Lepisosteus oculatus: one gene and its partners. The protein of the gene in region 1 interacts with the protein of each later gene in a pairwise test. Links are inferred from orthologs where the notes say so. Each region holds a gene or a part of one and is shown in the gene's direction. Other genes may lie near its edges. The genes, in order: hoxa1a, chrd, slit homolog 1 protein and cysteine-rich hydrophobic domain-containing protein 2.

Evidence for each region.
Region 2: the proteins of hoxa1a (region 1) and chrd interact in binary tests that used the Homo sapiens proteins (3 or more experiments, as listed by UniProt). The link is inferred for Lepisosteus oculatus from reciprocal best matches to the Homo sapiens genes HOXA1 and CHRD.
Region 3: the proteins of hoxa1a (region 1) and slit homolog 1 protein interact in binary tests that used the Homo sapiens proteins (3 or more experiments, as listed by UniProt). The link is inferred for Lepisosteus oculatus from reciprocal best matches to the Homo sapiens genes HOXA1 and SLIT1.
Region 4: the proteins of hoxa1a (region 1) and cysteine-rich hydrophobic domain-containing protein 2 interact in binary tests that used the Homo sapiens proteins (3 or more experiments, as listed by UniProt). The two-hybrid records come from large-scale screens. The link is inferred for Lepisosteus oculatus from reciprocal best matches to the Homo sapiens genes HOXA1 and CHIC2.

The regions. Positions count from the first base shown.
Region 1 is NC_090705.1:603,479-610,383, forward strand, and holds hoxa1a (homeobox protein Hox-A1a), read left to right. Parts: upstream 1-4,057; 5' UTR 4,058-4,163; coding exon 4,164-4,770; intron 4,771-5,095; coding exon 5,096-5,454; 3' UTR 5,455-6,386; downstream 6,387-6,905. UniProt on the Homo sapiens protein: Sequence-specific transcription factor. Regulates multiple developmental processes including brainstem, inner and outer ear, abducens nerve and cardiovascular development and morphogenesis as well as cognition and behavior.
Region 2 is NC_090708.1:18,749,295-18,756,553, reverse strand, and holds the start of chrd (chordin), read left to right. Parts: upstream 1-4,252; 5' UTR 4,253-4,599; coding exon 4,600-4,783; intron 4,784-7,100; coding exon 7,101-7,204; intron 7,205-7,259. UniProt on the Homo sapiens protein: Dorsalizing factor. Key developmental protein that dorsalizes early vertebrate embryonic tissues by binding to ventralizing TGF-beta family bone morphogenetic proteins (BMPs) and sequestering them in latent complexes.
Region 3 is NC_090699.1:44,405,568-44,413,414, reverse strand, and holds the start of slit homolog 1 protein, read left to right. Parts: upstream 1-4,829; 5' UTR 4,830-5,214; coding exon 5,215-5,414; intron 5,415-7,847. UniProt on the Homo sapiens protein: Thought to act as molecular guidance cue in cellular migration, and function appears to be mediated by interaction with roundabout homolog receptors.
Region 4 is NC_090696.1:78,484,700-78,492,705, reverse strand, and holds the start of cysteine-rich hydrophobic domain-containing protein 2, read left to right. Parts: upstream 1-4,989; 5' UTR 4,990-5,303; coding exon 5,304-5,425; intron 5,426-8,006.

The DNA.
Region 1 (6,905 bases):
TACATTTTGTTTATTAATGAATGAATTAGTTAATTCAGTACAGAAGATAAAAGTCCACGCTCTAATTTTTGTAAAAGTTTAGTCTGGCAATAATTACAATTAACCATTTAAACATTAATTCTCCAAAAGCAATACATTGGTTCTGTAAAAAAAAATAGAATTTAGTCTCTGTTCTTTTATTTTTGTATCGCTTTCGGGTACATTGTCATGAATATTTTGTTAGAATAAATTTTACTTGCTACAGGTAGCTTTCAATAATTGTGTCACTGCATTATTTCCAGGTCCAAATGAAAATTAAAATGTATTTTTATATTACCCGCCTCTCAAACAACACGAGATTGAACAAAATGGAAGGTCAGAATATTTTATTATTCCACAACAAATCAAAAATGAACATAAAGAAAGGTACAATGTTAAACGTATTTTAGAAAAATAACAGTAAAGTATACATTTAAATGTATCAGCAATTAACTTTTTAAAATTAAATTTATGAGTCAAATTTTCAAATTCGTTTTCAAAAATATAATTTGTATAATCTGTACAGGATAATATTTGGGTGTAATTCCTAAAACTACTTATTATTACCATCACCAATAATAATAATAATAATAATAATAATAATAATAATAATAATAATAATAATAATAATAATAATATAATGTTTTCCATTGTGTCTCTCTCTTGAAACCCAAAACTATTCTTCGTTCCCGAACCTAAAATAAGATAAAAAGTATTTACTAAAACAAACAGCAATTTCAAAGTTTTACAGGCATGTTCTTTTTCTTTCATAACAACAAAAACTTTAAAAGCGCAGTTAGTGCAAAAGACCGTTTCACCGAGTTTCAATCTCGCAGGACGTGGTGGAATGGGATTCTGCCGGGTGAGCTCAGGCAGTAGCTGAACACGAACAACTAGAAAGAGCTTCCAGCGGGGAAATGTCTAAATGAATTAAATATAGTTTCATATAGGAATCTTTCGGGATGCTGCATTCGGTGCATAGTCGGAAATAGAAAACTCTTGGACAGGCATAGGTAATTTTGCACTTTAAAATAAAACATTGAATAATCTTAATATTGTTTAAGTTAAAACGCACTGTATCGTAGCCTTCTGTAGTTTACAGCCTTCGTCCTTTTAAAAGACAGGCACAGAGTTATTGTTACGGCTTACACTTGGTATCTGTGGAAATCAAACTTCGTATTGCTGGAGTTTGTGCAAAAAGCGGCTTTATGCAGACTAGAGCCCGGCTTCTCAGAAAGCGCCCTGGCTTAGTTTGTATTACTCTGCAAAACGTGATGGAATTGCGTAAGAAGTGGCTGGAAGGCCTGGATGAAATTCTTCCCAAACTCATAAATCAAACTCTCTTTTATGAATGAGAATGTCATCAAAGAGATCAATTGCAGGAGCACATGCACAAATAAAAACCTCTTACGTATTTGGAGGGACTGGGGATTCCCAGCCAAAAGCATTAACTTTGTAGGCGTTCGGCAGTAATTCATTTTTATTGCCATTTAAACCAGCAGAGCGGCCTGAGAACGGCCGCCGATGCACCGAGATGCTCTCTGCTCAACTCAGAGCGGGTGTTACAATCTCTTTAAGTGCACTTTTAAAATATATATAATATTCTTCGATTTGTTTAGTTAAAAGTTTATGTTCACATTTAACAATGGACTTCAAATCGACATAAACGTAGTTTGTCTTATGCACCAAAATATATGTATATTTAAGATTATTTTTATATAGTTTTTCCTAAAAGGGTGTCTATAGTGAGCCTTTCTATTTAGTCAATAAAATTATTCTTCTTTATTATCCACATTCTATGCCTCATCCAGAGATTGTAATTTGTTATTACGATGATATTTTCCTCTAATTTGGAATCGATCGAACATTATTAAATCTATTAAACTGTAAACCACATAGGCAATAACGTGACATTTTGCCAATTATATGTTGCCATAAAGCAAATTTTCTCTGGACACAAACATCTAGAAACCTTTAAAGAATGAAGACTTTTTCGGGACTATCTCCCACGCTGGCGAATCGACGGTTTTGAAAGGAATTGTATCAGAGTGCCCCTGAAACAATACCTCCTTTCTTTCGCAACTCCGGCTGTCAACAATTCGCATTTTAAAGACGTGGGCGATGTGGAAACTTCACAGAGCTGGACAGGCCTGTTAATGTATTTCTGGGTTTTTTTTATTGTGATGGTAAGTTTACATGCCTTTCCATTTTGTGCGTTCTATCTTATAAGGTATACTATTTTTTTGTATGTGAAAAAAAACACAAAACAGTGCAGATTGTGCACACGTACTAAACGACATACGTTCATCTGGCAATATTTGAAAGCTTAAATGTGTAGTTACTGCAGACAGAGCTGGGCGTTGTGAAAGAGCCACCTTTCCTGAATCCCTGGATTCAAGCGAGATCGCCATCTTATTGCACAGCGCTGACCACGGAGTCTCGCCTTGTGTAAGGTCGCAGTGGAAACAGGGCCGGTGGACAAAACACCACGTAATCGGGAAAGCCTAAATATACATATTGGGTATATGATAACAGCAATAGAATAAATGTGCATTGTAGGATAACTAAATTAACGCCGGGTAATTTCGTTATCGATTAATCGATGGATACGTTTAATCATGCTGACGCACAAACAAGTTTAGGGGTGAATGGCTAAAATATTCCATTCTGGAACCACTACGCTATTATAGGAAACCTTCTGTGGGGTGGCATGTTTCGATATTACTCTTCTTCAGCTGTTGCTCGTGCCATTTAGACATTTGTATGCCAGTTTAGATGGTTTTGTCTGACCGACATAGCCCCTTTACAACTTTTTATCGAATTAAGAGAAATTACGTCCTAAAAAGCATTAAGTATTTAGAGGAACGGTTTCGGAAGCTGTGCTAAAAAAAAAACGAATGAAGAGAGTCACGTCAGCTATATTGTGAGGGAAACCGCACACCAGGCGGGATAAAGTCTTATTTGTAGAGTTGAATGGTTGGTCTCTCAAAGTTGGCTCGTCTCTACAGACCCAGCGGATATGAGCAGATGAACCGCGTCACAGCTCCCCTCTCAGGCTCCGCCCATTTCAGGGGTTTCCCAGGCCGGTCCTGAAGGGGCGCGATCCTGAAGGTTTTCTAGGTCTCCTGAGATCAGCGGCACCTCCAGACTTGAGAAAATCTGCTCAACTCTTCCATCGAAGCCAATAAGTAGCTAAATTAGACCATTGACGGCTGTGCTGCGATGAAAGCCAGCAGGACTGCGAGCCTCCGGGGCTAGGCTTGGGAAACCAAGACCTATATCGTAGAATGAAAGACGTGTCGGTTTAGACTGTAGTCCAGCCTGTGTTCACCTCCAGCCGCCGGAGAAGGTGATGCGCGGAGCTCAGAGCGCTCTGATAGCATCGCTGACTTTGGTTACAGAAGGCTCTCATCTCCATGCCGACAGCTGTGAACACACACAGACACCTGATAGGATGCGACCTGTCTGCCGGCTCTCGAATGCTGACGAGCAGCAACTTCAATCCAAGCATCGACCCCCAGCTAAATGTTGAATCGAGCTCACCTTGTCTTTTCACACTACAACACTCAGAAGGCAAACGTGAAATACATGCTAAATTCCAAATCCCACTTTATAAATGTGCCCCAAAGACATATTTAATCTTAGACTTGATGTTGACTACAATAATACGTTCAGTTAAACAGAAAACATTTCACAACCAGAGATGGCGCTTTTCTTACCTTGTGCTTAAGTGATGCTGAAACAGCTGTGCTTTCGGGATGGAAAAGCGAGAAAAGAAGAAACGTTATCCATCAGGAACATGGGCTGTTTATTGTCTCGAGAAGTGTCCTGAACGATTTCCGCTGCACTCTGTCTCGCCCATTGTTTGAACTAGCAATACATTACGGGCTGGTGTGCGTCACCTTGATAGAGGAGCGTGGAGAATTTAAATGTCTGTAAACCGGTGATCTATCACCGCCAGCAGAAGGCTATCTCAGCACCGCTGTGCAGCCACTGGCGGACACGAGTCACGTGACCCCCGCTCCTCATTCATATCGGTCTGTGCTGGCCCGATGGACGAACTGGGCAAGTTGGCACGGTCACCCGGGCTGGAGCACGGTCATCGCTTCAGACCTGACCAGTCGTGACAGGTAGACAATGCTACAATGAGCTCCTTCTTAGATTACCCTGTGATCAGCGGAGAAACCGCATCCTGCTCCTCCAGGGCTTTTCACCCAGACCATGGGATTACAACTTTCCCGTCGTGCTCTGTCACAACTAATACCTGCGGCGCTGACGATCGCTTTGGCGTGGGCAGGGGCTCGCCAGGGGGCATTCCTCACCACCCTCACCAGCCGGCCGCCTACCAGCCTCACAGCAGCCTGAGCCTCACCTACCCCAGTCACCCCAGCTGTGGCGCGGGGTATGCCACACAGGGCTTCTGTGCGAGTTACAATCATTACCCACTGAACCAAGACGTGGAGTCTAGCGCGGGGTACCCTCAGTGCGCCCCAGCAGTTTACTCGGGGAACATTTCGGCTTCCATGGTGCAGCACCACCAGGGCTACACCGGAGCGTCGGTGGGGGTACTTCCGTACACGCACGGCGCTTACGGCCACGAGCAGGCGAACCTGCCCCTTCCCGGCTACACGAACCCCCTGTCTCCTCTCCACGCCTCTCACCACGACCCCTGCTGCTCTCCTCTGGCCGAGACATCGCCCCAAGCACAGACCTTTGACTGGATGAAAGTCAAAAGAAATCCGCCCAAGACCGGTGAGTGTCACGCTGTTGCGCACCTTTCTGACCGTTGATGTGTCTTTCTGCGACGCTTAAGGAAAACTGAATTCAACAGTTTATTTCTGTATCGTTTAGTTGTGTTGTACTGTTGTCATGCAAAAAGCACATGTGACGAGATTCTGTAACCCTTGTGCGTTTCCTCAAGGAGCACCTATTCTATACCCAGCCTGTGGAAGTCGACCTCAAAGTGTTTTCCACCTGTTCGCCCGGTTTTGTCATTAAGCGCACATCCTCTGTGATGTTCTCTCACACGAATGTCGATGCTCAGGCTGACATCCTCTGCACTTTTTTTGGTTTCCAGGGAAAGTTGGAGAATACGGTTTCGCCGGCCAGCCCAACACGGTGAGAACGAACTTCACCACCAAGCAGCTGACGGAGCTGGAGAAGGAGTTTCATTTCAACAAGTACCTCACGCGAGCCAGGCGGGTGGAGATCGCAGCAGCTCTGCAGCTCAACGAGACTCAGGTGAAAATCTGGTTCCAGAACCGGAGGATGAAGCAAAAGAAACGCGAGAAAGAAGGTCTGTTGCCGAGTTCTCCGTCGGCAGCAGCAGAAAGCGAAGAAAGAGAAGACGCGTCGGAAAGATCCCTTTCCGCCCCTTCGACACCTTCTCCAGCCTCATCCTCAGCGTCCACCGCGGAGACGTGTCCCTCCAGCTGAAGCTCCTGAGCAGCGCGCTGACAGACCAGCCTGTCATGCGGCTGCACCTCTGAGCTCCAGTCATACTCATCGGAGGAATGTGGCAGATTGCATTGTCCGCATTTTATCATGTTGTTTTAGTGATATAGAGCAAGTAAGTGCTGGGATTTAGATGATCGGAATTTCAATGACAACAATATGTATTAAAACACAAGACAGATGACACAGTACATACTGCAGTCAGCAAGCTGTTTTCAACCACATGTGTAACTTCCCCATAATTTCAGGTGATGATGACAAATCTAGAGAAATGCACTAAATGCAGAGAGTTTGCAGTCGGGTGATCTTGCCTAAACTCTTCAGCTTATGATTTGCAATTATGTAATTACTTTGATGCAGTTATAATATGTGTATTTAATCCATTTTTTAGAATCTCTTTTTACATAACGACGGTAAGATGTTAAGGGTATAGAAAGACACAACTTAGGAGCGATCTTACATTTTTTTTATTTTATACAGGAAAAAACGATAATGAAAAACAGATACCTCATAAAGAAGACAAGCTCACTTTATTGTAAATTGTGTTTATTTGTGTGAAATAAAACGAAATTGCACTGAAACGTTTTACTATTGAAATGTTCAAAGTGGGCTCATCCCGAGCCTGTGAAGTCGCACACTTTAAATACCTCGGAATACCAAGTTGTATTTGACACCTGTGTTCGTGACGACGTCTGCATGATGCACAGCGCTTTGATGTACCTCCCTTAACACTGAGTTTTATCAGTTGTAAAAGTATATTTCTGTACAAGCGAAGAAACTATAACAACACATGTAATGTATTTGAATCGAGTAAAGTTTACGGGTCTATGTATGATATGTATTAAAACTATCCTGCTTCTAAACAAACCAGAAATGACTTTTTTTTCCCACAACAGGGTTAGGAGTTAATTTGGGATCATAACTTAGTTCGTTTTAATATAAAGGTAGTATAGTCTACCTGCACATACCTGCGCATTTTATTGCTAAACAGTTTTCTCCTCATTAGCCTCTCATTAGCCTCAAAATGACGAATATTTTTCAGCTTCCCTTTGGAGTTTGTATGGCAGAGAGAAAGAATTCCAGTCGAATTCCAGTCTCCGGGCCCTTTCATCTGACGTCGCAGAAGCTACTGACATGAAAGTCAACACCGCAGTCTCCAGAACGAGCCTTTTCATGGAGTTTGCCTGCAGTGCTACACCGAAGGGGCCATAATGTTTAACTTTAAAGGCCGGAGAAAACAAAACCGAGAAAAATACTTATTTTCTTTTTGACCGGATCCTAAGAAGCCTTTTTTTTGCACGCTACAGCATGGCAGCATGTGTAGTCTGTTTGCACTAGATTTTTACAGACCGTGCGCGAATACTATAGAGGAGCATTTTCTTAATTATAATCTTAGTCATTCTACAATTCCATTAAACTATTGGATAAAAGAC
Region 2 (7,259 bases), on another chromosome or scaffold:
GATTGTGTCCGTCTGAACACAGAGATGTTCCTCCTGTCTTGCCAGACTAGAGACGCGTGGCGCACAGTGTAAGGAATACGAAGAGCTAAAGAACACCTGAAGAGTACAAAGTTCCTTGGTATTGTGTTATTGTAGTTTCTCTACTGAGATGTATTGAGGGTGCATTTACGGGGCATAGCTCATCTGGTGGGTTGTTCAGCCTATTTCCCGCGAATTTAATTCACGCTTAAATAGAACTAGTCCATATTGAATTGTATTAACTACATCCGATAAACCTAAAATGTATACTTGTGCAGGTGATCTTTTACAATGGAAGACCACCCCACAACTGCATATATCAGTTGTTGTTGTTTTTTTGCTCTGATCAGCACGGTGATCCTGCTACGGACTGTTAGATATTTGTTCCGCATCACATCCAGGTCTGCAGACTCTCTTAGGTGCTGAACCTTAACCCCAGCCAGCAAGATCCTCCGTACCCCCGCTATCTTCTCGGGCTCTTCGTTTGCACCTCCGGCACAGACACGCCAATAAACAGGATCTACCTGCCAGACTAGGGCGAAAACACAACGAAACCCACCACTAGCCTTTACAGAACCTCAGACACCGAACTTCCTTACGCCTCGTTTCATTTTATAGGCAATGTAGGGATTTTCACTGCGCCCTGTCTACATACTAACTCGAGTCAGTGATTTATACAGCAATGGTCTAGTTAAAACTCTGAAACCATGAAATAATTCTAGAAAAATAGGCCTAAAAGGAATTGCAAAGAGATGTCCCGAGACCTGTGATATTTTTTCAACAAGCAATTAAAACACGCTTCGCTGAAGTAGTCCGCTAGCATTCAAGTGTCTGGAACTTATTAGGTCCTGTATTGTTGGTCCGCTTGACAACAGTTTATTAAAACCATCAAATAATTTGCCTTCAAAATTTCTCTCAGAAAATACATCTCATTTTGTTGGGTACTTATTTTATATTTATGGGTTTAGTTCAGTGCTTTGGAAACATCTGTGAAAAGCGAAAAACACAGCCAGTCAACTAATTCCCCGAAGGAGGCCAAATCCTTTGCTATGAACCTCATAAATCTGCGCAGACATTAACAATTAAAAGTTACAAATGTATCTTGTTTAAATTTACATTCTTTAAAAGGTGTGCGGCCTTATCTTAACGCATCTCCAACGCCCAAAACTGGTCACAGATAATCGATTTTACGAGAATGTAATGTTTTGGCACATTAAAAATGACTTCAATCGCATTTTGTTTCTGCTTAATTTAAAACACTCTTTCTGTTGCACTAGAGGCGTAAGGAAATTATTGTTAAACCCCCGCAGTATTTCAGATCGTGTGATCTGAGTAACTGGCATCCTGTCCTGCAATCCTTGTTCTCCTCTGAGTGCTGACACCATCAGCTATATCCAAGAACCTTCACACGCTACCGCCATCCACACATCCTAACAGAAAACCTTCCACATTCCGTGGTATACTGACTAATTGCATTCTGAGTGCGCAAGAATGTTCTATGTGATACACGCTCCGAACAAAGAATAATTCAAATCCACAGCAACACGATCAACTTCCGCCATACAATTTATTGCACCGCTGAAGTACAAAACACCGTCCTAACTCTAAGATATACATAGTCTCCAAACCTTTTCAAAATAAGATAGAGGGAAATTGCAGAATGGGGGCACCTGTAAGGTGTTGATCTGTTAACCACGTAATCTGTTCAGTTAAGAGGAATATAGACCATGGAAACTGAAATTTGGTCAAATTCATTCGATTTTATTAAATTATTTAACAAATCACTCGCTTAATCGATAAAAGCGAAAATGTTCCAAATCTTTAGAAGTTGGTGATTTAATAAGATGTATAAAGCCTCCTGGTTTTGAAGCATTTTCGAACTATTCAGCTTCTGTCTGCATTTCAGTCATGAAAAGGAAGAATACACATTTCGGCTCATTGTATTATGTGCGACTTGCGTTATTTAAATCTTTGCATTATCTTCAAAAGGCGATTTGTTTTCCATGAATGGAAAACACCTAATGAATGGCTTCCCTAATGTATTAAATGAAACCAATAGTTATCACTTAATGATTAAATGCAAACAAACTATCATCGATGCTATTCACTTCCCAACGTGACACAAATGACGCACAGGTGCAAATTTTCTCGGTGACAACTTAACGCACTGTATGGGCACATGCGTAAAAACTGACACTTAACAATCACACGAACGAGCAAATTAACAATAGCCTGTGCTCATATTTATCTAAATTACTTTACATACAGGATATACATACATACAAATATTGCCTATCTAGAGCTATGAAAATATCACTTTCAACCTTACAGGCGCAAACGTCTTTGTTTTCAATGTAAATGGCGCTTTGTCATTTCAAATTGCAGACAAGCTGCCGTTTGCGTCTTGACCTTCAGACAGGTCAATAACCAAACCAAAGGAGTTCTATACACAAGCTCGAAGTATCCAAGTACCCAATCACGTTTGTGTGAATGTTCTGCTTTGTGCAGATAGCTGAATTCAATGTTAAATTTGATAAGCTCGTCTCAGCTGTTCTCGAGCGGATCTTTCCTTAAAATAACACCTGGTCTTCACATAGGAACAAAGTGATTAATGCTGTCGCCCGCACGAACTTCCCAATCACTAACACTGACAAGTTCCAAACGTTACATCCTTCTGTTTCTTTTTTATTCCATAAACCTTAGTTGCATTTATATTGTGCTTTTAAACCATTAAAGTGTCCCCCGTAATAAAAGTCAACAGATAGCTGTTGAAACATGATTAGCTGTAGCTATTACTCTATTATTAATTACTAATGGTAAGAGTAAGTTGATTGAAAAACTGAAGACGCAAGAACACCATCATAACAAATATGAAAATTAACTGTAAAAATGTTAAAATGGTAAGGAGCACTGGTCATTCCTGTGGTGCGATTGTGAGATATGTGTTTAAGGGAAAGGTGTCGGCTCCAAACGACAGCTGAGCAGAGTTTCTTCTGCGCTTTTCGCGGCTCTAGCTTGTAAAGGACAAGCATACCGGAACCGGAGAGCCCTCTGTCTGTTTGTGGTGCCTTATCTTTATTGAGCAAACCGCTCTGGGTGTTTTGCATTGGGATGGCGAAGGAATTAATGAATATCCGGCGTTTATGAGTCTGCCCTGCTCGGGAGGCACCGGACCCGATGATATATTACATACATGCTCACTCAGCGCAATTCCAAATCCGGGAACACATTTCACGTCATTTTTTCTTTATTCTTTATTATTCTTTGGTGTGGTTTGAATTGGAAAACGGACAGTGTCACCAAAGAACGGAATGCAAGGCAGAAAACAGGTTCAGTCTTGCTGAAAAGTGACATTTCGCGGTGAACGGTTGATGAAGAGCTTGACAAGAAGCGAGCACCTAACACAAAAAGTGACTATGGTGATAGTAATGATGAGAAAGTGAGATCGCAGCTGAACCTTCCAAGAGCGATCAGTCAAGTCCCCCCCGGCCCAAACTTCCTGCGAAAATAAATCACGTCGCGCAGTTTATATGAACTTGAACCGCAGGATGTCGAAGCGGCTTCTGGTAGAAAGCCAGGCGCTAAGCACACGTGTTGGCGTGGAAGTTCTTCCCGGATTGTCTGTTCAGACCGATAGGTGCCATAACTCAAAGACAAATAAAAAGATACGTTGAAATTCCCGGTCTGTGTTCTTGCACTATAAATTAATGGGATGTGGTGGAAGGGGCGTCCATCAAAGCAACGATAATCGTGATCACCATAGGAATAACGTTACGTATTTATTAATAAGGGCCGTTGCAACACAGTTTGCATTTATTGAGCAATCAAGTTTCTGTCTGCAGAAAGCAGACCGCCTCTCGCAAGGGTGAACGGGATAATGAAAAGACGCTGAAAATAATTACGTACTCTGAGAAAAAATGCGTTTTAAAAGTTCTTTATTTGGAAGGGGTGCTCAGTGTAAGGTATGGCCCCGTGGGTACTCCGGGACTCGATTCACCCCGTGAATTGCCGACACTTCTCTCGTGGTACGGGGTGAGGTCAGAGTCCCTTCTGCGCTTGGTTTCGGGAGGTCCATCACCCCCAGACTCTCACACACTCACACACACCGGCTCTCTCTCTCTCTCTTCGCCACCCCCCCGCCTAACTCCCCCAGCCCCCCCAGTTGTGGGCACTTGTGTTGATTTTGTGGAGTTAGGCGGTCAGGACGGTATAAAACGGAAAGACACCCTCACTGACTCTTCAGAGGCAGGTTTCAGCAACCAGGCACACACGATCCGCCCACAATACCAGTCTAGTCTGCGGCTTCGTTTCTAACATCGTTTTTCTTTCATTTTTTGATATTTGTCTGGATAGGTTCTGGTTTTGCTTCCACTGTTGATCTTAAATTCCGTCTGCAAAATAAGCGCTTTCTGGACGTTTTATTCCAGCACCTCGCTAACAGGGTTTTTGAACAGAGTAAGGTAACCCGAGACTGGGATTTTTTTTTCTCTACTTATTAATTTCTTTTTGCATGGTGTAAGTAGGATCAACTCCACTCGTCGACCTCCACACTGCGTCTTGCTTAAACGGACCTTCTGCTGAATGGTTTTACCCGGGTCACCTCTGCATGCAGCTGTAGCCGCAGGGATGCGAACTTGCTGGTCGGTCGTTGTCCTGTGTCTCCTGAGCTGCGCGTGGCTGGAATCCGCACGCGCTTCCCGACTCAAGTCCCCTGCGCTGCCCATCCAATCGGAGAGGGAACCTCTACCTTCAAAAGGCATCGCAGGTATCGTGTCTCCTGTCCTCCGTAACCGCAATGTTCATGCAGCATTCATCACCTTTGAGCCCAGACATCGTAGGCCAGAATCCCACTGTTTTTCTTTAGATGTAATCACTAAATCTGGAAAACAGGAAATACTGTTCGAAAGCTGTTTATTCCAAATTCCATGTATTCAAAATGGAAACCGCATTCACAAAGGGTTTCAGTTACTATTCATGTTGAATTGTTCTGCGAGTCCAAATATTTATTTTGATATAAGCTGCGTGTTTTTTTCTAGATCTCATCTAGCACTGCCAAAGAAGACAGTATGTCCGTTTTGTTTAAACGTGTAGTTGTAAACCACTCGATACTCTTTAAAGTGAGAGAGGGAGTTGGGGATGATGTGGGAAAGATTTACAAACCATTGCTTGAGGTGGGGGAACTGTTGCTTGTTTTTAGACGCCAAAGATAACAGTTCAAACTCTATGTGTTAGTGCTTCGGGGATACTAGTATTTTCCTTCAAGTGTTTATCATTTACATTACGTGTTTGAAGTTTGTCCTTTGTATTAAGGCATAAAGCAATAGTACAATCGTATCTTATTTAAGCTCTGATGGATTCCAGGTCTACATTAATGAGAAAATAATTAATTGTAGCTCCCGTGTTCTCTTCTTCGTATTGTCATCCTCATCCTTATCATTAGAATCAGCAACAGTCAACAAAGTCTTACAGTTATTTCACATTATACTGTACATTTTCTATCATTAAAACATGACTAAATAACGTTACAAAGCCAACCAAAACTGGTAACGGTGCTATGCGGTGTATTAGTCAACATTTAGAAACCTTCCTTGATCCTGGAAACCTTAATCAATAGAATTTCCATTACAGTCACTATGATTCCTTCAGGAGTCACGGGGCTGCAGCGCTGCCAAGCAGTGATTTATTTCAAATGTTTGTAGCAGGAATATTGTCTTCAGCCTCCGTCTGACTCGACTTGACCGTTTGAAGTAGGCACTTAATGAAAGAATAATGGGAACCAGCTTGTTAGCAGCTACGGCAACCGCATAATATTCGCGTCAACAGTTGTGAACCCCGAGCCTCGGCGGCAAACCCGGAGCCCGCGCGCTGCGAGTGGTGCCAGCTGAAGCCCGGCGGGCTGGAAAGGCGAGACCGCCGGCGTGACCCGTGTCAGCTGGGTCCGGCACCCCTGGCTTCGCTTTGCTAACCACACTGTCTTGTTCTGCAGTTGCTGTTCTGTTTTCCGTTTTTTTTCCTACCGAGAAAAAACATGCATCCAGGAAATTCGGGAAAATTGCACACAGACAACTCAATGCCCCGAGGCCCCATAAAACACTGAATTCTATAGGAAGATTCCTTCATGTAGCTATTATTAGTTTTCTGAGTCCCTTATCATTTCCCTGGACAGTCGTCTACTACAAAGCTGAGATTTATCAGAAACGTTGAAGAAACCTTTGAGCATTAGGGTGTCTCTGAGACTTAGTCCTTAACTTGAAAAAAATAATAATTCACTAAAATGAATCCAGGCCTTGCGTTGTCTGCGACGCATCCGCCGATACAAGCCAAATTCTTCGTCATTCAGTCTGACGCCAATCTACGAATTTGCACCACTAGTCTTACGCTTTGGTCCAGCATTGTTAACACGGTTTGTATTTATGGGGAAAGATCGCAAAGCACGGCTGCAGCCTCCTTCCATTGGCCCGCTGTGCCCTAAGGATTTCCGTGTTGCACTTGATGCCTCGATACAGGGAGGTCGGTAGATCGCGTGTTATACGTCGGCCCCTTTTCTTCCGAGGGCAGGTCAGTCTTTCAACATTACACCTGCCGTCAGTTCCAGGTACGGAAAATAACAGCCGATGCTGCGTACATGGAAATACACTGTAGCTCATAGTGATGATAGACGAACAAACAAAAAAGCGCAGGTCAATTTAAATACACAGAGGGCACTCAGAAGTAGTTTTCTGTTCGTCAAAATAAAGGAACGCTGTTGTTGCAAAGACTATACGACTAGTGTTGGGTTTGGAAAAGCACTTCTCAACAAAGACCAGACTACGAAAGAGGCTGGCCTGTGTCAGTTGAAATGTTTAGATAACATGTGAAAGGTGTCTTGCTTAAAGCGTGTACCCCATTAACCCAGCTACAACTTCGTGGTCTCTGTATAGTGCACGTTCTCCCATTACGGATTCCTTTCCAGGCCTCCTTCACATCTCCCCTGCTGTGATAAATCGTCCCGGATTCCAGTGTTCCGACGGGCTCAGGAGGAACTTCTCAGTAACTGAGGGCGCCTCGATCCTGCTCTCTGATTCGCTCTTGTTTCGTTTCAGGCTGTTCGTTCGGAGGGCGGTTCTATGAGCTGGAGGACACTTGGCATCCGGATCTGGGGGAGCCCTTCGGGGTGATGCACTGCGTTATCTGCTACTGCGAACCAGTAAGCACAGCGGCGTAGTGTTCAAGCAGTTTTAACTGAAGCTGTATACTGTTTT
Region 3 (7,847 bases), on another chromosome or scaffold:
TGTTTGAATACACTTCACTGGAGTAATAGCTTTCTGACATAGCAGACTGGGTTTGTGCCAGACAGCAGGCAGGCAACACCTTACTAAAGTAACAAAATGTTCTGAGCATGTTTTAATAACTCAAAGTCAGAAATATCTGAATTCTCATTGCTTAGTTCAGATAACACTTTTCTGTTTCTACTCTGAAGCAGGCAATAAACAAATAGAAACCTAATTTGAAGCCATGCCCAACTTGTAAGAGCCTATAGGTGAACTTTAAAGTGAAGTTTGAAATAGTGGGATCAGTTTTGTATGAGAAACAAAACTTGAACAATTAACCCCTTACATTTCATAATAACCTTTATAGCTTTTTTCACATCTTTGGCATATAGAAGCTGGAGAGCCTTGTCAAAATCAGAAATGTATGATTGCTATCAACCTGCTTTCTCGTGAATAAGTAGGTAATCTTGTAGTATATGCTTTACTAACCAACCAAAATATTTCCTGGCCATAATAGTCTTAAACTGTGCAATAGAGCACAGCACAGGTCGCATAAAATTCTGTTTTAAGAATACCAAGCAATATTACGTTAGTCATTCAAGGTATTAAACAGCTGTATGAGTGATTGTAGTGAGTGTACCATCCATATGTATTAGTCTGTTTTTGCTGGTGGGGTCTATTACAGCAGAATATGCTTTATTTTTTCTCTGTTATCAGGACCTTAATAATTAGGTTTCAACGTTTGGGTCAAGTTTCTGAAAGCTGTTGTCAGCAATGCATTTTCTAAGCTATTTTTTACTTGAGCAATTTTGTCATCCTAATAGTTATTTTTGTTCATAATGTATGTAAAATAAGTTGTAACATTGTAAAATACATGGCTTTAGTAATCATTTTAAAATAAACACCTTTTTACCCCGTCTCTTGAACATTTTTTCTCATTATCAGTCCCACATTATTTAAACCCTGGAAAAGTATCTGCATACTTTTGCAAAGGGCTGGTGCATGTTTACAGTGTATAAGAAGTTAAGCAAAACTAAATAATTGCTGCAATTGGCTAAATTAAGCATTTTCACGTTTTCAAATTGTACTGATATATAGGTAAGAAGTGAATTTCAGATATCAAATTTTAAAATTGTAAGACTTAAATTATGGGGGTGTTTTCTTTATCTTGATATAAGAATGAAGTTATGACTTCCACAAACTCAAAAAGATGGAGGGAATTCTGCTGGAAGAATTTAACTCGATTCTTCATAACTCCAAAATAAAATTGTCTCGGCTTGGTTTGCCACAACCATGTTGGAGACAGAGTCGTAGTAGACGCAGGGCATTCAACGCATATATTGGTAATGTCCAAGACAAGAAGTGTTGTCTCTGATTAGCAAGACATGTTTAGAAATTCCAAAGTCGTGTTCAGTTCTGTGTCTGGGTAATCTGCCTGATGAGGATGTGGGCAGAGGTAAATACTTGCTAAAAGTATTCTTGGCAGCAAGTAAGAAAGCTATTACACATCAAAGAGCCCCCAAACCAAGAAAATGATTGTTTCAGAGATTTATGAACTGAAAAAGTTAACCTTTCAGTTAAGACTCTAGAAGGACATTTTTTTGAGAGATATTGGGAGAGGTGGATTATTTATTATTTATTACCTAATGATAATGATTTAATGTTTTTAGAAGTTTTTTTTCCTTCACCCATCTTTATCCAGAGCATTATACCCTCTGTCTAAATGCAAAAGAATGATGCGTAACTTTATACTCATTCATATTTGTAATACTTCAGGTTTTGAGATGACAGGCAACTTTTTTTTCTGGTTACCTTTTTATGTTAAAAAAACATAACAAATAAGAATGAGGTTATAAGGTTATCAACCAATATTCAATTCTCAGAATGCTGGATGCTGCACATTGGTGGTGGTGGAGGGGAGTCCCCATTACCTGTAAAGCCCTTTGAGTGGAGTGTCCAGAAAAGCACTAAGTGTAAGCAATTAATTATTATAATTATAATGCTGTTCTGTGTAATTTGAATCATATTGTGCCACAATTGTTTTTATAATGAGCATAGGAGACTTCTTGGATGCACCTTTCTGTTCTCTGGAACATCAGTATGTGACATCTGTCAGAAGGAAAGTATTTCAATACAATTTGCTTTGTTGGTTGTATGCTCTTATGAACTTCAATCATGATCATAGCCGAGTAAAAGCATTGTCAATTTCATCCACAAGGTGGCGGTGTTTAAAAAGTAAACACAATAGCGAATAACATGTTCGTAATACTTTAATTGCCCATTAGAGGTCATATGCTCTCTTTACTTATACGTAATAACTACATATTTCATATTAAAGATCTGAAAATAGCCCATTGCATGCCATTTTTGCACATTACATCTTTTTAACCATCCCAGAATGTGTTGATGAACCCCCAAATACTTATTTTACATTATAAGTTTCAAACAAATGTTCGCTTAAAAGTATGCAGTTGTCAATGTTTTGTTTAGTTTGCCCTTTGTTTCAAGTTGTTTTTTGAGTCGTTTATTCTTCTCACTATTGCTTTCAATGCTTAATTTCCATTAAAGTGGCATGTTCTGATTCGATTAAGAAACTGGAATAATTATGTAATTTGTTTTACGCACACATAGAACATTTTCAATATCAATGTGATATGTGCTTAAGGTTTTTATTATTCAACCATTTTAAACAATATGCCATATATCACATATTTTACATGTGGAACATGTTTTAAATTTGCTCTTGCAAATGAGTTTTCAGGCATTAACAGAACCTTTGTATGAGCGACCATAATTTTGTCATTCCCAGGTTCTGCAAAGCCTTGTCTAAAAAAAAAACTTGAAACATGTTTGTAGTGTTATTAGTGCGTTTCAACGTCTTCAGTGCCTTTGCATTTTTTTTTACTTAGAAACGCACTCGGATTTTGCTCATGGTCGGGAATTCTTTTCTCCGTAAAAAAAAAACACCGTAAAAGCTGTTTTAGGAAACTAACTCCTTATGGGAGCTTGTTGTTATCTCGAGCAGTTGTATGCATTTTTCCTTTCCTCGTATCTCTGGAGCATTAATTATTACAATTATTAGATGCTCCTTTCATTAAATTGTGTGATTTCCATTTGTAGAAAGATACAGCGCGATAGCTTTGGGCGGGAGCACATGCGTTAAACATTTCGTATTAGTCGGCTTCTAGCTGTAGTTCTTTGAGACATTTTCCTGGACAGGCGTCGTTTTTGTTGAAACACAATGGCTAGTTAAGAGTACCTGAACCAACCTAAGCATTGTAAAGGACCAAGGTTCACAGACGCAAGATAAAACACTATGCAACCCTTTCTGAACATAGCAAAGAAATACGGCAAACGTGTTGCCAGCAGCTATCGGATCCTCATTCTGAGTCATTGTTATAAGTGAGCATACCTGCATTATGTTTCAACGTTTTTTTAGAAATCACAATACCTATAGTATAACATTTGAGAATTCACAAAAAATTGAGCATTCTAATTTAAGAATTCTGTCTCCTGTGTGGGGAGACATAATGATCGTGGCCCCCTGTCACAGTTTTTGACAGTCTAAAATAGGACTGCAGTTTATTTTAGGGTGATTGATGGATCAGGCAAGAAAAGACATGTGGAGCCGATATGTTTGATTAATGCTTCTGATTTTCTATGACAACGATTTACTTCGAGTCACTTAAATCAGTGTTAAAGCTAGTCGCGAGCTTGCACAAACCCTACACTCGCAGATGGTTGGTTGGCTGGAATCGGTCATGATGTAGTCTTATTTTCTGCTTCAATTGCACGCCAACAGTATTCGCAACTTTACAGGTGTTGGTTTAGCTCATTGCTTTCACTCTTCATCAGAGTATTTTAACTCACTTTTCGGGGGTCTGGTCCTATCAGCATTTCTCTCAACTATATTTCATTTCCGAAATCATTTCATTCTAAACTTATAAGTGACAGTCGCTATTTCTGCTACAGTACCCAAGATCAGCAGGGATTTTGTAGAAACGCATTTATGCCATTTTCATCAATACTGTTCATGTGTATTCCAGAAATGCCTGGAATTGTGAATCTGGACTCCTAACACTGAAGCCGTGGTTTACACAGTGGGTACCAACAGATGTTTTCATAGTCCATTTCTTTATAAGCTCATCCGGGCTATGTGCAGGGCACTGCTACCGTCTTTCAGTAGGGTGGCGCCCTCAAGACCAGCAGAAGCAGAACAAAATGAAAATGAGTGTTCTGAAGACATGAGCCAGAATGAGCAATCTGTCAAAACCGATATCTAACTGCAGTTCTGTCTCCTCAGCTTGCAGCCGTTCGTTTAATTCTCACTAAAAGGCTGTTTGCTCCTCTATTTTGCGCATCAGTTCATGACCTCAACCCATGCCTTGGGTTTTGCAGCCCTGGTCAGTTTTTACACTGGCAGATCGCGATTGAACTGCCTGACTCTGCCGTCTGCGTTGCTCCTGCATCTCCAGCCCCCCTGGCTGTGGAACCCTTTCCATTTCTCTCACACTTTTGTCTTCGGTCTGCCCAGACTCTCGTGAAAAGTCGTCACCTCTGGAAAACTGATTTTTTTTTTGTTTTCTTCTGCTCCTCTGCCTCCTGCTACTCTGCTGAGCTTATCCCAGGGCTGCTGCCCCTGGTGATGCTGGGGATCCCAGAGGCAGATCCGGGGCCGGTGCTGTGCAGGTTGCTGCTCCCTGTCTGTGGGGGCTGCTGTGAGACTGGATGAGAGCCTGTGAGAATAAGTGTTGAGTTCAGGCAGGGTTCTGGGGAGGGTGGTGTGGTGGGGGGGGGGGGTTAGGTAGGAGGAGTCGAGGAGCTGCTATTTGTAGCTCCTTGTGATGGAAGACTGCTGTGTGTGTAAGAGAGAGAGGGACTGCTTTTTTCCTTTTTTTATTTGCTCTGCTCTGCCCCTATTCCCATTTCTACAGGCAAGCAGATGAAGGCTGGGGAGAAAGGGAGTAGGACGTAGGCACGCAACAGAGCTACAGAGGGGCACACATCTCCATAAAGAAAGAAGAAAAGAGCTTGGTTGGGAAAGGAAAGCAAGAAAAGAAAGGAAAGGAATAAGACGGAGGAGCCGCTGCAAATATTTACGCCATTTAATGAACTTGTTTCCCTGAAGGTCTCAACCTTATACTGCTGTTTTGTTTATTTTTCTGCACATTGGCGGGAGTAGACTTGTCTAGAATAGCGGCTTGGAGCAGTGCGGAGAGGAACTGGTGCTCCGGGATGCCTTTCAGAAGACGCTGCAGCGGGGCTGGTACAGGACTGACCAAAGCTGGGTTTTGGGTCGTCCTGTGGGGCGCCCTGCTGGGGGGCTGTGCCAGTGCTTGCCCGGCACTCTGCACTTGCAGTGGCACCACTGTGGATTGCCATGGTCTGGGACTCAAAGCCGTGCCCAGGAATATTCCCCGGAACACTGAGAGGCTGTGAGTACTTGACTGTATTGTCTGTCTGTCTGTCTAGTGTACATGACTTCAGTGGAGAAATGAGGAGAACAATAGATCCGGCTATCCGGTCATAAGAAAGCTGCTGCTTCATTATCTGTCATGCAAAATGCTCCAGCTGTTAGGGCCAGGTAGTAAGAGCCCAGCTCTGGAAAAAAAAAACAGAAGCAGATGTCCCGCATCTACACATGTGCGTGCGATTTGCATATGTGCTAAAAATATGGAAATGCACTGGGGCAACCCACCTCATATCACACTTTGTGAACAATGCCTGTACCACGCACATCAAAAAGCAACTCTGTTCATCTCTGGGAGTAATTTTTCACAGCTTATGTCAAGTATACTTCGCTCCTAGAGCATCATACAGTCGATTCGATTGTCATCACATCTGATTGATTTCCACACTGTCTCCATTTCGCTGACAAATGCATGTAGAGTAAGGTTCACTTCGGCTTTTGTCAATATTGTAAAACATCTCTTGAGTACATTTTACACTCCGATTGTATATTTAGAAAAAAAATATTTTCAAATTTTCTTTGAATTTCTATGAGGTTCTTTATGCATATCCTTTTCTTAGACAAATTGTAGGTCATGTCTTCTGGAGTTATGCTACAAAACAGTGCAACTGCATTAATAGCACTTAGTCTGGCAAATGATGTAAATTGATTGTAAATTACAATAATGCAGGGCTGTTTAGACTCTTTTGAAGCAGATTTCTTGAAATATGCAGTTCTGCCTTACACAGCTCCACAGCATTTATCCCTCTTCCTGACACGAAACATTTTCTCCACATTAAATTGTTAAATCATGTAGAAAATTACGCAAATCTGTGTTCTAGGTCTGGCTTGCGAGACGGGAGCCCAGACTCCGCTCTTAAGAGAAAGATTTGAATCACTGACATGAACACACTTCAGGATGAATGAACCTCAGGGGCTTTTTTTCATGTTACAGGTCTAGAGCTTAAAATATTCATTTTGCAATCACTGAAAGCAATCCTGTATGAAGAAAAAAGTGTGATGTTACAGGAATAGAACACATAGAATCGTTGGAATAGAATACATAGATAGAATGATGAATTATGAAGTTCTGTCTGGTCTTTGGTATAGCAAGAGGTATATGCTGTATATTATTTGTGCTTCATTGAGGTTCCAGAAGATCCAGTGCAGTTTAATAGAAACACTCTGCTTAAACCAGACTATTCTGTTAGAGGCTCCTGCAAGATGATCATCTTTGTAAAAACAATCACTTGCCTTTTCAATTGCTAGAAACAGAGATATTGTGGGTGATTTTCATATGACTGTGTCAAATGCATTTGTGTACTAGCTCCATAGATGTGTTCATGTGGCAGGTATTCTCGACATAATGAACATTTTGAGAGGGTAATTTTAAAAAGTTAATACTACACAGGAAAAATAGACTACATTACGGTTGTCACACTCAATAACTAGGATGTAAAATTAAAGTAATATTACATTACAGCACCGAAATTCTCTGCAATAAAACCATCTACTTATGTATAAATTACAGTAAATTACATGCAATTTACATTATTAAAAAACCCTTAAGAATCTGAAAGTGTTTTATGTAGGTAATCTCACAAACATATCCTACATTGTAAAGCAACAATCAGTTTAGACAAATGGGAGATTTATTTTAAGTCTTGTCCTTATTGTAGCCATACCAAAATAAAATGCTCTTTGTATAATCTAGGGTGCAGATTATATTATTGTTTCACTTGTAGAAGAGCAATCTTGTAGAAATACAGAAATATATAATACGCACGTGATACTTGTATGTTATATAGAATCAAAAACCTGTTGTTTTTTCCTCTCTTGTCTTGATTAAAGAATGTTTAAAATTTGACCTCCGTGGCCTGCCTAAATAATGTGCCATATTGCATTATTATTAGTACTGGAAAGAAGCCACATAAATTGTAAAAATTCAATCTGCCAACGGTCTTCAGTACTTGGTCCCACGGTTATGATCGTGACATTTGGTGCTCCGGCTCCCTCTGCCCCGAGCACTAGACTGGAGCTGCACAAGATCATTATTCAGTTCTGCCTTTGACATACGAATCGTTACAAACGAGAGGAGGTCATTAAGCCTATTGCCTGTTTGGATGTTAATAGCTAATCGACCCAAGCATTTCATCAAGCCAGTTCTTGAAGGAAAACCAAGATATCAGTTTCAACAACTTGACTGTGTAACTTGTTCCAGACTCCCACAACCCTTTGCGTAAGGAAGTACCTTATGTGTTTAGTAAGTCTATACAGTACGTCAACTCTGTTGACTGTCATTGGCTTTGATTTGTAGAATGGACTTAGTAATGACACTGAGGGAGGTGACTGAGGCCATAAAATATAGAATAGCTAAAAAATATTGATTATTCAGCTCTTTGATGAAAGTACTTTAAAA
Region 4 (8,006 bases), on another chromosome or scaffold:
GCATTAGTAACATTTCAATTATAACTCTAAAAAGCGGTCAGATTAACACAGTGAGGCCTTGAAATTACATTTAGATATGAGAAAAACACTGCTTGATTGATCACATTTATAAATATTGCCGTCTAGCACTTGGCAGTAGCCGCACACAGCAACACACTCGAGTGTTACAAGCGCGAAGACCTCAGCTACCGTGATGCGTAGCCGGACTAAGCTACCGTGGGCATATTTCAGCATTTTGCAATCGTTGTGATACCTATTTATTCTCAATGTTGGCGATACCGTGAAGAAATCCATTAATATCTTGTTGAAAGACCATCATTAAGCTGTATGGACGCCTTTTTCAAAGTTGCATTGTGGTAAGTCAACCCGTGGAACATCTTGGCTAATATAGTCGCGTGATTTCTCTTTTATTAGTTACTAGGCAACTGATCATGAATACCAAAAACTGAAAAGAAACACTCGGGTCTTCAAAATAGTCTTCAATGGTAACAGAAATGAACAATGATCCAGGGGACAACATAATACCACAGGAGTGACATTTCAGGAACAATTATCTCTTTAAACAGAATACCAGCTGTAATGCCCACTCTGTTTTCCTTGTTCTGAGAAAATAAATTCGCTTTATAGCATCAATGAAAACAAAGTTTGTGTCACAATTTATGCAGTGGACTAAACTTGTTTAATCTACATTATCAATACATTATTTCATTTTTTTCATAAAAAACAAGACAAACATACACTATATTTTCCAGAATGTTAAATGTTATAACAGGTTTTGAGAACTTGACTTCAGAGTTCAAGATCGTTTCATTCAGGTTGTTTACCTTGTAAAACTTTCAGCTGAGTGTGTTGGTCACTTCTTTCCAGAATCTATTATTTGAATGGACTTATTCTGCATGTGCTCATGTTTTTGCTGATGGTTCTCCTTCATTAGGAGAGAGATGAAGCCTTTTCAAGAGATCCTTATTTTCAGATGGTATTAACATGCTCTTATAAGGAAACACAAAAGTGTATCCAAAGCTTTTTAACTGAATTTTCTTTACCACTTTTTAAAATTTGAATAACAAGTGTCCAAGGTACCAACAAACTGCAATTGGCCAGGAAAGGCAAACTATCTTGACAAACCCATATCATAGAAGTGATAGTAAATCTGGCCAAGATTTCACTGTATTTGGCTTCCGGGTTGTGATACTGTGGAAAGTGATGTTCTTGCTACATTTTTGTCTCTCACCTCCAGAGAATTGGGATTGGGCCCTGATGTACATCCTTTCTAGGCTTTTGGGAACTTTATTCACCAGCTGGCAGAGCTCAGAAAACACTTTGAGAAAATTATATTGGTCATTTGGCCAGCAATGGACTGGCGTCCCATCCAGAGTGTATCCCGCCTTGTGCTTCTTGCTTGCCAGGGAAGGCTCCAGTGGCCCTGTGACTCTGTATTGGTTGAAGTGGTTAAAAAATGGATAGATGGATGGAAATAGAATAAAACATGGAGAAGGGGAATTCCTAACAGATATGATTTCAATATGTATGAAAATACTTTGAATCTAAAAGGCTAAAGCTTTACTTACAGGATGGCCACACCATCAGGGGGTGACGCAGATCACTCTTAAGGTGACCAGCAGTAGTTTTTAGCTCTATAAACCCTTACAGACCCTGCAGTTCCAGAGGGAACTTGGTCGGTTAGTCTTGGCCTTTTCATCTTTTTTTAAACCACTCATGTAGTGCTGTAGACGAGAGCAAGCACATACAGTACAGTCATGTTTATTTCATAGCAGTGTAGAGTCACACAGTTTGCAGTAATCTTATATTTTCACAAAAAAAAGCTAAGTACTGTATATGCCTACCCAGGGACACATCGGTCTTTAAAAATTCTTCTGAGTTGTATCTATTATACTATACTAATACTATATATTATACTATTATACTAATGGTACTATTTCCATTGTTCCATTGTTACATATGGCAATAAAGTTCAAGTTCAAGTTATTATACCTATAGCATCCTGAGCTTCTTAAATTGTACAATGTTGGAAATCAGGATTTCTAACCAAACAAATGGAAATGATTTCATGTTTACAACAATGTCACTGAAACAGGTGAAAATATATCTAATAAAACCATATCCTATAGTAAACTATATCCTATCCTGTGACAGCTGCACAAAAATAAAGTACTGAAATTATACATTAACTTTCATGTACATGTATGTTGAGCAACACTAAAATTATTCCATTGTGAAACGGATTCTTGTTACCAAGATATTAATAAAACGTAATTTTATTGGCATTACAATAAAGCAGTTTCCACATGCGAATGAAAATCAGACAAATTCAGTAGGAAAGTATGACAAATAATTTAATATGAACAAAGCAACTGAATAGTCCCCATTGTTCGAATTGGAAAGTGACTGAAACAAAGGCTAATGGGAATCTATCTGCAGAGGATTAGAAGGGTTTAGTTGAAAAGCTGGACTCCAGTGTTTCTAGAAAGAGGTATTCACTGTGCAAATGTGTTTTGAATTTGTAGTTCAATTATGAAAAGGCAGAAGTCAGAAAGAAGTATCAATCGACTTGATGGTGTGACCCTCAAAAGCTCCCCAAAAGTTTGCTTCATTAGGCAAGATGGATAGTCACTGTCTTACGGCGATCCAAGCACAAATTACTTATTAAAGCTCTTTCCAAATACCCAGTTATATGTTTCCATAAGACTAAGCAAACATTTATTAGTAAATGAGAGTGAGTAACGGGGAAGAATACAACAGCCCTTAGACCAATTTCCTTGCTTGACTTACTGATCCGAAGTGCTGAAAATCTGTCTTAATTTCAATGGGAAGATAATGCAGACACACTCTCGGTGACACTGCATTGTGGTTCCTTATTCCCGATGCTCCAGAGTCAGTGCCTTGGCTGCAGGAATCTGTCCCCCTGGCTCTGCTCCCCAGGAGGCCAGACTCAGGTGCCACACCTCTCCCTGGGAGCCCCCCTCTGACCTGCCTTCTTCCTTCCTGTGTGCCAGAGGGACGTCATTAAGAAACTGTTGCACAGACCTTCTGCATTGAAGAAATATTTCTTTGTGTGCTGGTCCATTCCAAGGTGTTGAACTGATCCCCGAGGATCATTCAGTGAAATTTCAGGATGGAATCTAGTTAGAAATGACAGCCAGAAGTCTGTATGATGTTTCTTATGTTCTTAATTACAAATTTATGAACATGTACCTATCAAGAACTGAACAAAAAGGAAACCCCTTTCAAAATTTCTCTTAAGACCGTATATGTGGTACTTCCAGACATTTTAACTGTTAATTTAACATTTAAACGTGTGTATGTATACAAGCATCACATGCCTGTGGGATTTGAAGGCATTATACTAGCTAGGCAGACTAGCGAGCCTCTTCACCCTCTGTAAAACACAAAGGTGCAGTACATTCCATTCCATCTCTTCCACCACTGGCAAATTCCACATATAACAAACAGTAATTTTGGGATATAGAATGTAGTTTATGGTTTTGTTTTATTGTACAAAGTGGTCCTAATCATTTATATTTCTTCAGATGACAAACAATTGTGTTGAAGCACAATGTTGTTGTATAGCTGATCATGGTATAAAACTTATTCACACAGATTTATGAATTCAGTATTTTGCTTTTATCACTAATTAATACATTAAAGCTGAGCTCCTTGTCTGTGTATGGCAGTACGACATAACAGAGGGCTCTGGTTTTGCTAAACAGGTTTATGTATTCATGTCACATTACAGTCCTCCTTCTCTCCTATTTATTACATGCCTGGAATACTTTCTGCTGTATCCCAGTTCACGTGAGCCGGAGGGCGTTGTGATGAGAGTATGCTGTCCAATGTGTATGGCTGCTACTATGCCTGTGCTGCACGGCAGCTCAGAGACATCACCCCCTTGGGGGCTGCAGTATTCTCGAGTGTTCAGGGGAAAGAGGAAGGGCGTGATCACTCACCGAGACATCACCGCTGTTTCACCAGTAGTCCAGCAGCTCTTGTACATCATCATTAAATCGCCGGTCTCTAAAGATGCACCTGTTAAATGAAGTAACTTGGCGGTTTGGGACCCAACTCTGGGCACGTCTGCCCTCCAGGTCAAGCACCAGAGCTCTGTTCCTCGGAAAGACGGACCTGGGTCCGAGAGGGGGGGACCGGTGGCCCCTTCACTGCTGCCCCCCAGGAGGGCAGCTGCAGCAGCACCAGCAGCACCGGGTGACGGGACGCAGAGGCACAGCCCCAGGACATGCATGAAGACCTGAGAGCAACTCAGAGCAGACTGTGAGAATAAAATATAAAACAAATTCTGGTGTTTTGGTTTCCAGGCGTGAGTGTCGTATTCTTATAAAAAAATGAGCTACCTCTGTTCTTGGTGATTTTTACACCCGATTATGCAGGAAACATACGTTTCTGCTGGGAGCTCTTGTGAGCCATAGACCTCCCTGTATATATGATATATATTGCATTGATGTTTATGTACAAAATTTATTTGACCATCATGTTTCCCTTATTTTGTGATGATTTGCTTTAGTATTTTTTTATATTTCTAAATCATTAGTAAAAATCAATAAAAAATGTAGATATTTGCGCTGCAACTCCCACGTGTGTAATTGGACTGAAGATGAACAGACGGATGATTTAATTGGTGACGAGTGCTTAAAGAGATCAGAGCCTCGCAACGACGTTAACACGACCTATATAAAGGTAAACACGAAGCTTCATCAGTCTGAGTGGGACTCGAGGTTTCTCGCTTAGTGTGCTGTAGAGGGGCATGACTGTGGTGACTGATCTTGTTCCCTCTGGTGCTTGTGATCTTCCTGAATTGCTGAAGTGGGCGGCTTTCTTAGACTCCAGACACCCCCACGCAGAAACACCCTCCTGCCCACGACCCCCTGCTCTGGATGCCGCAGGTGAGAGGGGGGCAGTCTTGCCGAGTGCAGGACTGGCCGGCCCCCACGCCAAGGCGTGCGTCGTCCACGGTCTCAGGTCACCCCGTGAGCGTGTGTGCGCTTCAGTCTGCAAGCGGAGCCGCGCAGCGCTGAGCGCGTGACCCCGGCACCTGCGCACTCCTCCCGCGAGCTCCGCTCCGCTCTCGCGCCGCGTGACGCAACCTCTCGCGAGGCGGCGGATGTTGTTGTTTTGCTCTCGAGCTGTGAGGCTGCGCCTTCGCCGCTCGCCGGGTAGTTTGTTCGGGGTGTCAGTTTCTCGGGGGGCTGCTGGTATCGGGGGGTCGCTCTGCCACCGTGTGCGCTTCTCTCGGGCCAGCGCAGCGCCGGGGGGGCCCAGGCGAGCGGGCGATGATGGCGGACTTTGACGAGATCTACGAGGAGGAGGAGGACGAGGAGCGGGCCGCGGAGGAGCAGCTGCTCAAGTACTCGCCGGACCCGGTGGTGGTGCGCGGATCCGGCCACGTCACTGTGTGAGCAGCGGGCGAGGGGCGCTCTGGGGTGCCGCGGGGGTCTGGCCGCGGTGTGTCCTCTCCGCTGCGATGCCGGCGGGTCTCGGGCGCAGGAGAGGCGTGCCGGAGGCGGTCCGGCCGAGCGGCAGAGGCCGGGGCTCCGGTGTGGGTAGGCCCTGTGCGGGGTCGAGTGCGAGAAGCGCGTCGGTGGGGGTGGACCAGGCTCACGGTCTTCTAGTGCGCCGCCGCGGCGTGGGGAGCCTCTGCCCGCCGGGCCCGGGTCCCCCCAGTCCGGGAGCCCACAGCGCCTCTTGCCAAGACGCCCCGTTTGGCAGCTGCAGCCGGGCAGTCGGGCTTCAGCGTGTTGTGTGCTCTGGGGAGGGGTGATGCGCAGGCAGGAAGCCGCGGTGCCTGAGGTTTTGTTTGGAAGTGTTTTCGTCCTTCGTGTTACAGTCCTGCCGTGGTCCAAGCCCGGGTGCCTTTTTTCCAGCAAGTGTAGTTTGTGCACCACAGTTCTGCCGGTAGTTTGCATGTCCGCAGAGGTGAAGGTTGGCGGATTCATGTAAGGATTCAGATGTAAAGATCTTGATAAAAGCTGCTGTTTCCTAGTAAAGGGAAGATGAAAATGTTAACGGTGACTTAGCTAACTCAAGAATCTGTGAAAGTATGATACGAGAAGGAAAAATATAGCAGCTGTAGTATTTTACCTTTTCAACTGACTTCTCCCGAATTTTTCTTTTGGTTGAATGCCTGTGCTGTTCCAGACACTAGGGGTTGTGGGTTAAGCATACATTATGCTTTTAACCATGGCAGAAGTTTTTATTAAGTGGGAATATGTGCTGAAGCAGCAGTAAAGAGCAAATAATGAATTAGTCCTTCCTGATTAGAAGATAGTTTACTAAAAAAATAACCTGTTTATTTTCTTTTATAGTTATTACATCATGTTCACATGGGTGTGAGTGCATCTGTGTATCTGTCTACTGTAAATAAGCACACACTGGTGGTCAAAGCTGCGAGAAATATGGAAACAAAGAAAGATCAGAATAAATGTCAGTTTTCATTTATAAGCTTTTTAATATAAAAACTCAGTCTGCCAAAAATGCTTATAAAAACAATCTCCTTTTGTTGGCAACCACAGCCACACAGTGTTCTTTAGCACAGTGCGTTTGTTTTAACCCTCACAGATCTTTCCGAATCCTCTCAGATCAAACATTTTTCCACTCTTGCCCATCAAACCTGTCCCATAATGTCTCGGTGGAATTGGGGAGGTCGTGGGAGCTGCAGTCAGAGTTCTAGACTTGTGGCTGGAAGGATGCGGGTTCGAGCCTCCTGGCGAAGCACTGCTGTTGTCCCCTTGAGCAAGGTGCTCCAGCTGAACTGCTTGATGCAGCTTCGCCCCAGGAGCAGGTTCACGCCGAATACCCAGCTATGCAAGAGGGTGCAAATGGGCGCTAAACACATCAGCCAAAGGCAGCCCAGGAACAGTAATGTTATTTTCCACGTATGAACTTGAGATCAGTTACATGTAGAGTTGACCCACCTGACCTGTGTGATGTGGTTGTGATCTAGGAGCAGCGCTGTTCTCTGCATTTGCACTTGTACATCCTGGTTCAGGCTTCATAGCTGGTCCTGGCAAGCTCTTCTGGCTGACTTTGTCAGGACCTGTACTGTTTGTGAATGTGAATCAAGACCCTTGTGGTCTCTGTTCAGAACTGAATGGTTTTTTAGTTTTCAAGTGTGGTGCAGTGGATATTCTGTTAGGCGAATTGAAACTTTGAAATAAGCTTGGCTTTCTTCTCGCCCAAAATAAGTTGTATTAATGAAGTGGTTATAATAATAGGAAACATTATTGGGAGGCATGTTTAGTACTTCCTGAGTGACAAGATGTTTGTACAGCAGTTTTAGACAGACAGTTTGTAAATACGACCCTGAGCATGAAGGTGTTGTGTTGAAGGCTTGATAGTACCTGCTCTTTGAATGTGAATTAGCTGTTTACTCTTTTCTAGCAGTGTAACAAAATACATTGTTTCTAAAGAAAGGAATATTAACTGGTAAATTGGTTAAAAAGTGGAATTTGTGACAGAAGATCCAGGAGAGGTGCACAGCCCTGGTGCTGTACAGGGGAGCTAGTTTAGAAGGGTCATTTTTTAGCTAGAAGTATTACTGGTAATTGTGCTTTAATTAATTTCAGAATTAGTGTTCTTAAAATAAGACCTCCAGAGAATTGGATAGTAAGCTTGGTTTGAACAGAATAATCCTACCAATCTGCAGATTTGATTCTGTTGAAATAACTAGCCAAATTGTTTTACTGCATTGCTTGATCCATATAGCCTACAGGAACATGGCCCTCTCTTTGCATTAAGAAAATACAGCTCTGAAAGCTTGTGTGTTCTGAAACTTTTGTTTTTGCTTATTTTGAGCTGTTTTCCTAATCAACACCAATGGCTTGTCCTTCCATTACTTAAATTTAAAAGTTTAGGTTTCATAAAAGCATTCAATTGCTTTGATTAGACGAGGCTCTGAAAGTCCAATAATTGCGATGAACGGGACTTGTGATGATATGCTTTTTTCCGCAAGAGTTTTCACATTTAACGTTGATTGT